2 linked regions of the Neodiprion lecontei genome follow. The protein of the gene in region 2 purifies or fractionates together with the protein of the main gene of each other region. This does not show direct contact. Links are inferred from orthologs where the notes say so. Each region holds a gene or a part of one and is shown on either strand. Other genes may lie near its edges.

Evidence for each region.
Region 1: the proteins of protein patched (region 2) and sonic hedgehog protein A purify together in Drosophila melanogaster (affinity purification with western blotting; 3 studies listed by BioGRID). This does not show direct contact. The link is inferred for Neodiprion lecontei from reciprocal best matches to the Drosophila melanogaster genes ptc and hh.

The regions. Positions count from the first base shown.
Region 1 is NC_060262.1:29,608,593-29,613,523, reverse strand, and holds the start of sonic hedgehog protein A, read right to left. Parts: upstream 3,021-4,931; 5' UTR 2,046-3,020; coding exon 1,704-2,045; intron 1-1,703.
Region 2 is NC_060260.1:39,196,985-39,201,915, forward strand, and holds the start of protein patched, read right to left. Parts: upstream 3,055-4,931; 5' UTR 2,033-3,054; coding exon 1,811-2,032; intron 1-1,810. UniProt on the Drosophila melanogaster protein: Segmentation polarity protein. Acts as a receptor for the hedgehog protein (hh). Associates with the smoothened protein (SMO) to transduce the hedgehog signal leading to the activation of wingless, decapentaplegic and patched itself.

The DNA.
Region 1 (4,931 bases), on a different chromosome or scaffold from region 2:
CACTGCGATCTTAAGCGATGTCACTTCTCACAAGCAAGTGACAACCACTTAACGACACTTTCTAGCATCAATGCTCGTCGTGGGGTTCAATCCTTGCTACAACATCAGATCCATATCAATCCATACATTGATTGAAGCCCGAAGGGCAAGCGAGAAGGTTGCTTCGATGCGGTGAGAAGTGAGGATTGTTCATCGAGACCAAGCTGGAATGTTCGATTCATTGGAACTGAGTGCCGATCCTCAAAGGGTCGAGGGAAGAGGCTTGAAGTCAATTACGAGATACAAAACGCGGCGGTCTCGCGACGCTATTTGGACTAGGATAGGGTCTTCGTGACACGATCGAAATCGAGAAAAGTACGAGGTTGGTGAATTTATCTACCGTATAATTGGAGAAGCGTCAAGGCGTCAAATGAAACACTGGTTATGGCTACCATAAACCTTTCCACAATCACTTAGGGACTCGGTATAGTTTTTCCCCCATTTATTCCTCGCTTAGCGTGCGATCTTCGCCGTTCTCTTAACTCGTATAAAAATTTAAGTTGGGCCTCAGGCTTACGTCGACCCAGCTAGACAACTTCGACTAGGTTAACTCAATCCACATTGCCCTAGGACTGTGCAGCGTCGCTTCTTATTAGCACATATGAAATCTAAGCATCCGTCTGCGCCGGTGAAAAAAAATTCATACGTCACCTATCGTGAGCATTATGTATACACAGTGATATCTCAGCGATGTGTCAGACATCTCGCGACGCAGGTTGCAGTCTTCCGTGTTTGCGGATTCTATTAACGTTGCGAAAATATGTCATATTCCGTAATATTTTTATCAATATACGACAGTGACGGATAGACCAAGAAATTACAAACTACGCAATTTCTTGGTAAGTACAGCCTCACCGTTTCGAAAGTTTTACAGCCTAAGCGCTTGATCATTATTTGTACCGGGATAAATATTTAAAAGCAATAAATTTCCAAGTATAACCTTTAGCACGGAAACTAAGACTTCTCGCTGTACGGATAGCAAATTACTTTTAGCTGTATTAGCGAATGTTTTACAAGTGCAGGTAATTCCTCCAACTGATCAAACAACTTTTAACTGGAACTACATAATTCTTGCTAATAGAGGAAAAAACTTTTATCGCCATGATATTAACACCTTTCCTGCTGTTTCAGCGAATCCTTTCTGTCGTGTGTACAAGCGCAATTAGTGTTCGAGTGAATTTTAAACCATTTACAACTACAAGTAAGGGGGTTTACCTCGAGTCAAGTGTGAATTTTTAAGTGCTATGTATTACGTGCAAGAATGGTTAATATTTGCCTAGTATCGTTGCATCGAAGATACGCGCCCGGCGCCGGTCAACGTTCACCCGCACTACGACGATAACCATGATGCCTTTTGCGGAAGAAAGAAAACATACGACGTTATAATATGCTCTACAGAACGCTGTTCCTCGTAACTACCGATGCTTAGACACATATACATTAATATGAAATTATATCTTTGCAATGACGCGAGTACACCAAACAGCGGCCAGGAATTATCTATCTACCGGTTGACGCGACGGATTTGACGTCGCCGAGACCGACCACGTGTGCCCGGATGCCGTGGTTGCAACGACGATTACACGTTACAGCTGCAGGTCCAACCGTATATCGCACCGTTTACAATTCGACACGGATATGGGTAAATCGGTTTGAATATTCACCTGAGTCATGAGGCGATCGGCACCAGTGCCTTCCTCGTCCTTGAAGATTATGTCCTGGTTGTAGTTGGGCACCAGGTCGCGAAATCTGGTGTCGTGTCTGGACACGCGACCCTCGCTAAGTCCACTGGCGGGCAAAGTGTTCTCACTGACGTTTGGCACATGTTGTTTAAATACAAGCGGCGTCAACTTCCGGGGACGTATCCGTCGGTTGCTACCCCTTCCGGGGCCGCAGCCCTCGGCGAGGCCGGTGCCCAAGGAAGGAAGCCAGAACGATAGCAGTACCAAGCACACCAATATCCACCGCAGCTCGAATCTTGTCCTCGCGATCTTAGCGTTCACCATAATATCTTCCCGACCCAGTGCGATAGGGTCAGTCCGTCGTTGGTGTGACCCAGCTTCGGTGCGATCCCGACCCAGTCCGCCTCTTTCGTCTCGCCTCACTGCGTAGTAGCCATAACCAGGGCATCACACCCTGCGCCTCGTGGACGTCGCGAATTGAGCAACCGGCAACCGGGTCACCGCGAACTGTCACCGCGTTCGCCGATTGGCACCAAGGGGTGGCGAACGACGGTGGATCCGGAAGCGGGAGGGCACACCGTTTACCAGAATAACACTGTGGTCACACCTGTCACTGTAACGATAAATCACGTCTGCTTCTCTGCACCGCGTTCGGTACCGACTACGTCGTCACGAACCGATCGCCTGCCATTTATCCAGTTCGCGGGTTGCTCCGCTGAAATTCGCGCGCAAGATACGGAAATCGAGGCGGATACTACAAGGCCCGAGATCGATCAATCACACGGCACTTTTACCGACAATTAACTGCGGTCTTCTTAATTCTTTACTCTGAGTTTTCCCTTAAGTCGATGTGTCTCGGTATGTATACAGTAATTATCGATCCAGGCCGTAAGTGCCAGATTCGCGCCGTGAATCGGTACGTTATATCGGCTCGGATCGGTTATTACAAGCGGTATGTAAGGACAAGGAAAATTCGCGAATAATAATTATTTCCGAGCTTTAACCGGGTGGACGAACATCGTGCAATTTCGTTAACGTGTAACTGACGTTATGGATTCAACGGGTGTTCGCAAGTTGGCGGTTGGCGCACGTCGTGAATTTGTAATCGTGGTGCGTATCGAACAGCCCGACAACTGTCAAAACTGTGACAACGTGGATCTGGGGTCCTGGATTGACTGCCGCTTTCCCGACGAACCGTGGTGGGAAATGTCCCGTGGTGCGTTTGGTGTTCCCTGGGTGCCACGGACGGACCAAACCGGGTTCTCGCCTCCTCCCCCACCCTGCCGCCCGCCGGAGACCGGCGACGTCGCTGACTCCTGGTGGACTTCCCCCTTCCACCCGCCCTGAGCGATCGCCAGGTGTGACGTCACGCCCGCGGTTTGCTCCACGATTGGCCGGGGCGGGGCGAGCCAGGTAAACGAGGACAGGTGTACAACAGGAATACACACCGAGGAACGGTCCTCTCTCCTCTCCTGGTTCGCGCCGGCCGCACGGTCCCTCCGCTCATACAGAGATCGCTCTCCTCGGTCCGTCCGCCTCCAGAGTCCCGTGTGTCGTCCGGGTTATCGGCGTATCGCTCCCTCTTTCTCTCTCTCTCTCTCTCCTCTCCGCTTCTCTCCCTGACAATCCTCAACCCGGTCCAAACCGAACGCGGCTCCTTCCCGCTCAACGACTCGCCAAGTCTGAGTCTCAACCCCCCGAGAAACCGAACTGCGTCGGATACTTTCAACCTCTGAAAGGAAGCACTGGCTATCTTCGCCGAGGATGTCTTCTCCACCGACCGTTTGTTGCCGGAGTTATCTCTCGGGAACAGCTGAGTGAAGTCGTTCCGGACCCTTTGGCCCTTACCTTAACACCCTCACCTCCACCTCTCATATCCTTCTGTCACCGACACTTTTCGATCGTTCCTTTTTAACTTCTCGTTTTCGGTTTTATTTCTCGTTCAACGTCAGTCGTTTTCGATGCAGCGATTAATTCGAATGTTCTATCATGTCGACTTCATCCTGCACATAGACTTGTTCTGAACACTGATTAGTTGGATTTGGTTTTTACTGTAAATTGTTTCACAGTTAACGATATTACGTCAGGCATACCTGTATCTAATACTTCATAAGCATTCTTTCTAAGCTTTGCACTCTCTCCGAAATGACGAAATGATACCATTAGCGAGAAACGATGCAGTTACGCAATATTTTACTGCTTATCATAACTCTGTGCATAGCAAGCAGTTGGCTATCTTCTGTGTAAACAAGAAGTGCTCGTCTGAAGTATTCCGATCTTGTAAAAAAATTGGACCGTCGATTGACTGACCTTAGGATGAAATCAAAAAAAGAATCAGCAAATCATGTACATAGTTTGAACGGTACAGGCATGAAGTCTGCAGTTCCATTCAAGAGTTGATCCGATTACCTGCCGCACAACGATGTGTATTTTTGGGTACAATTAATAACCTATTACACCCTAAAATATATGCTCTGAACACGAGGAATTAACCGTAGGAACAACGAACGTTTCAGGTGGGTGATTCGCCTTGTATTGTAAATCGGCGGGCTTTTCAACTGGTCGTTTAAGCAGAGAAGTGCTGTGCGCCACCGATGGCAGCCGGAAAGCTACTGATGCCTCTGATAGCTCCTAGCCTTGCTAACCGCGCCGTGAGCGTTGCTAGTTTCTTGGGCTTACTGATAATAAACACCGTTCCATTACCCACGATTTATCCCTCTAACCGTGTCCAGTCATGTAGCGTATTTGGTGTGCAGGCACAGTGTGTACACAACACACCCACATGCCGCATTTCCTTGCAGCTCTATCACTTCTACGATAACTGGTATATTGCAAGTCCACTCCATCCTCACACGTGCCTCTACCCGAGGTGCGTTCAACGTGCGTATCTACCTGGGCATCGGGCATATGTTTCACCGAATGGACTGTTGGCTTCTCATGCTTCCTACATCCTTCGCGTCGCAATATCTTATCAGCAAAACGTTATGGTCAGGGTCTCCGTTTGGTGTGTCGTCGTCAGGGGCAGTGATGCCACTGTTACCTCATGATTCGAGATCAGGAAAAATGGACTTTCCCAGAACTGTGTGAAAGAGGACTTTCCTTTCTAGGTCACAACCGATTCTTAACCGATCTGCGGATGACAGTTGTGTAATGTATAATACTGTCGGCAATGTTGGCCACAGTTTCCGCGAATATATCCGTCTCGTAGTT
Region 2 (4,931 bases):
TTCTAAACCGACTTGTTAGATACCATTAAATTTTATCGCAAATTGACCAAAAATGTTACATTGCGCAAATGCTAGTTTCTTAAAAGATTTTTTTCCTATCTCGTTAGGTCGGTAATCGATAACAGATTACGTGGCACATGCGCAGAGACTCTTGATGACCGTAGGAGGGAACGGCTAGTGGGATTCTTCGTATATATTATTAGTACTTATATACTATAGTGTATGTATGCCGCACACGATGGCGGCACCTTTAATCTTACGCGCTGCACATTCAGGACTCCGAAGACGATGCGACGCGACGCGACGCGACGTGAGAGCTGAAGACGAAGACGAAGGTGACGCTCGGTGGGACCGGACGGTACGGGATGCAACTGACAAGTGCGACCATTCTATACCAGAGTATCCGTATGTAGGTACTACGTCCGTCTCTTTACACATGCGTGAACCATATGTACATATACCATGCGCATACGTACGTACATGGTTTATGTAGTTAAACCGCGATTGCGCATCGCGTCAATATATTCAAACATGTTCATAAATCGTGCTTTTATACTTTACGTATGACGCATACTATGTAAGTACTTTCTCTTGGCCACGTTACGCGTAACCACGTGGTTGTGCTTGCGCATGGAGACATTGGTATAAGTATAGTTTACCTATAAAGGTGCGACAGTTAATCAAGTTCGTAAACTGCAAGGCGTTATTATTACACATACGCGAGGAGCATTAAATCAGGTTATAAACGGTTCGCCGTTTTCTGATGGGTTAGCATATAACGATGCCAATTGCGTCGTTGTTCGTTTGGAAGCTTGCTTTTACCCGAGCTTTTATCTCTTTGTAGATTAAACTATGATGAATATACATATGGATATGGCGGGAAAGGATATCAGGAGATTTTTTTATATCCCAATTTAATTGTCTGTATTTGTACTATCGTAATCATGGTTGGTACAGTCCAGTATGCAGAACAATTGCTTATCACGAAAATTATGATTCCATCTTTCAGCTAACGCTCTGAGCCGTGGGGGGCGCTGCTGGTTATGCAGAACCAGGAAGTCGAGAGAGCTGAAGATCGAGAGAGGAGAATGGCGAGAAAGCTGGTGCTAGAGGTCGAGGGCTGACCCTTCCCAGTTGCAATGGACTCATTTTTCGATTCTCCGTGTAGCGTCAACTATGTCGTACGGAAAGAGTCAGGCATAATCCTCGACTGTCGGACAAATACTGCTACTTATAATGTAGATATAACACAATTTCAGGAAATCGTGATATAGTTCTTCCTATATATCAGTTTGAAAGTAAATTTAGAGAATAACAAGAAGAAAAGAAGAGTAAACCAAGTGAAGGAAAAAATGTGAATGAGTCTCATATCACAAAGAAGTCTTTATGTAAAAGGCCATGAATTTTCGCTGGGTGCATACCAATCCGTGTGGTAAGGTATCACGATTTCGAAAGACCCGTAAAAGCTTTTGAAAAGGTCTGGGAAACCTCTACGCTGGTCTGCGATTGAAATTGACTTAGGTCACGGACGACGAGGTGGAGAAGGAGGAGCAGTATTATGATTCGTGCTGCCCGTTGAGTTTTCAAAGTGGAATGTACAGTTATATTCGGGCCCGTTTCAAAGTTCCGATTTCCGCTCCGCTGAATTTTTAGTGCAAACTTGAACAACAGAATCTCCTCGCACGATTGAATCAGGATTGCATGTTTGGTTTCGGAGATACTTTTGAGAGGACCATCGAGAGTAAAACTAATCAGATACCCTAGAGTTTCACGGTTCTGAAATATCAAAATTTCTTCTCCATCTTCTTACCTTCTCGAGCTGATCCAAAGCGATCGCGGCATCGGTCCAGCTGGGCCTGACGTAAAGGTCGGTTTCGTGCCTGTGTCTGGTACTTCCGGTGTACCTCGCATTCGAGGAGGGTTGGTCAAGGTCTGTTTCGCGGTCGGTTTGGGACGGCGCGGGCCCGTGTAACCGTTCAGAACCGGAAGGGTGGTCCGCTAGGATCCCCGTTGGACCGGACGGAGCGACCATGGTCTGCAACGCATCTGCCCTCTCGAAAACTCGCTCCCGGTTTATCCGCGTTTCACAGTAACCTACTTCCGGCTCTCCGGGCCCCGACTAAATGCGGGAAAAAAAATCCTCGTCATATCCGTCACCCGGATTTAATAAATGGGCGTCAAACTAACTGTCGGAGAACTACCGCAGCTTGAAGCCGCCTCCTGCCCCTACAACCCTGTCAAACACTCGCGCACAATTTTACGTGCGATCAGTCGCACCACCGAATATACATATATTCAAGTGTAAAACTGCAAACTGCTCGAATCCTCACACTGACGATCGACGCACGCACTCCGTCACGTTTGGGACCCGCGAAACTTGGTCGGTAAACACAGACTGGGCCCGGTCCCCTGCTCCTGATTTCGATGCCGTCAACCCGAGTCAGCACCGCCTCGTTTCTCGTTTCTCCCCTCTTTCGTTCCTTCCTTCCTTCCGTCCTTCCCCTTTTACGGGAGTATTTACTACGCTGGAGTTCGTCAGACGGAGGCCGGTTTGATACACGAGACGATCGGCGACGATTTCACGCCGCGCGTCTACCGCGAGGAATAGACAATTCGCGTTCCTGGTATAAGGTTGCACTCTTCGTTAAGCCTCGCGCTTTCATTCCTCATTCGTAACTCGTATAACCCCTACGGTTAGCACCTTACTCGGTTTGATCTTCTTTTTTCTGGATCGAGGACGAGGCTTCGAGAACGAATGCTGGGTGCGTATCGCGTGTAGCTTGCGCGTAACGATCTAAAACGTGTTCGTTTAATCTTTTGTTTTTCTTTTTCCTTTCCTCTTTCAACTTCTGCTCATTACTATCACGCTGATATTGGCGGTTCTGGTTTCAATTTCAAACTATCGTTCAGTCGTTGCGGCTATTGTTGTTCTACTGTCACTGCACCGATCCTCGCAGACGACTATTCGGCAAGCGCTGCGAACCAAGCCTTGTACTCCTTCTTCTCTCGCTAACTTAACCGCGACCGGCACTTCGAACGGTCCAAGTCCGTACTAACCGACTCACAGTCCCACATTTCTCTTCTGGCCCCCGAGTCGCAGTCCCTCTCTTTTCCGCTATCCCTACCTCTCTATCGCTCTCGCTCTATCACTTATTCCCCTCACCTCTCGCCCCTGCCAGCCGGCAGCCATGCCGCATCATCCCTCCCGCTCCCTTTCTCCCGGTTCCTTCCCTCTCCAACAACGCTGCATCTTTCTCGCGCTCGTCAGCAGGACCGGTACAACTATCAAAGGGCACCGTGGGTACTCGGATCATTCAGCGAGATGGACGATATAGTATTTCGATCTGTGTAAAGAGAATATTGTTTTTTTCCCGGCAATTTTCAAAAGACGTCCAGTTACTTCCGCAATTTATGCCGATGGTATAATTTACTCCGAAATAGAAAATTTCTTGATTCTGCACTTTCACATTTTTTATCATCCTGTACGTACGAAGTGGTAATTTCAAGTTAATTAATTTTAACCAGAAGACGAAATTACACACCAAGTGGCTAAAAGAATTCACGTGACTTTGGTCCATTTGCAGTCACATTGAAAATTTTGGACCAATAAGAAGTGGTATATTATACCTACATCTTCGGGTACCAAAATTGCCAGACGAGAAAAAAAAAAAAACAGAAAAAGAGGGATAAAAAGTATTCACAAGTGTTCCGCATTCACGAATGGCTAGTTACGTACCTGGGACACCAGTGACGTCAGAGTCGAGTTCAACCGAGCGTAGCCGAGATCGAATCGGGTGTTTTCCGATTGGTCCAAACTGAACGCGGCGTCACCGGTTGCCAGGCAACGCTCAGCGCTTTGAGCGCAATATGCGCTGGTCACAGTGGCGGCGGCTGGCGCTCGGTGCGCGCGGCGCGGCGGGGTGCCCGAACGTAGAGGAGAGGACGGGGTGAGGGGAAATTCGGACCACACACGCGGTACCATTTCCCCTCGAGCAAAAACATTACACACTTGCGAGCGCGCGCGCGTTCGTGCAGGGTACCAACGTACGCACGCACGCACGCACGCGCCGGATCCCAGCCTTGGACGTGTGCGTGCGCACTACCGTCGTGTCTAAGTCGAATTCGGGTGTTGCCTATGCGCCTGTGTGATACCCTATCACTTAGAGTTGAAAAACTGCACTCTATGCGTGCTCGAGTCGCACCTCTGGCTCGGTGAATCACCGTTGAAAGCATCCTCTTCCCTCGTTATGCTTATGTGGAAATTTCAGGCTATAATATCTACTCACGCTCAGTGCGCATCACCGGGTTGTCCCGATCGGTCTCGGCCACACAGAATGACACTTTTCAGGGCTTAAATTTGATTTGGTACAGAATATGCTGCGCGCAGGGTCGGATTTTTACACCAATCTTGCTTGAGTTCACTGCTCTGGCACTTTACCGTGAAATCCGTTAAAAAACACGCGTGATCTATTTTCACGCATGTCAACGTTTATCTTACTAGCTGAAAACTTTTACTCCTATATAATGGATGTTTGAGTATTTTTAAACTCTGGTCCAACAGTTTTGCTACTTCTTTTCTTAAATAATTTTACATTCGATGCATTGTTGTTGACAATTAGATTTGAAACAAAATTTCAAGGGTAATTCATACTTTTTAACCGTTTGGGGAGAACTCACGTCACAACTAAAAAATACTTAAATCTTATCGGATAATGAGAAGAACGAAATAAACGCAGACCAGATTAGGTCGAGTTCGACGTGATAACAACGTTTCTACATTTCAAAGAAATTGAATTTGATCAAAATAAAAGCGCTCGTCGTTGCGGACAATTAAATGCGGAAAAAACCCAATAGGCGTCATTCGGTACATTGGAAGATACACTAATTGGCACTATTTTTAAAACCTTTCCAGAGAAATCAACGTCAACAAC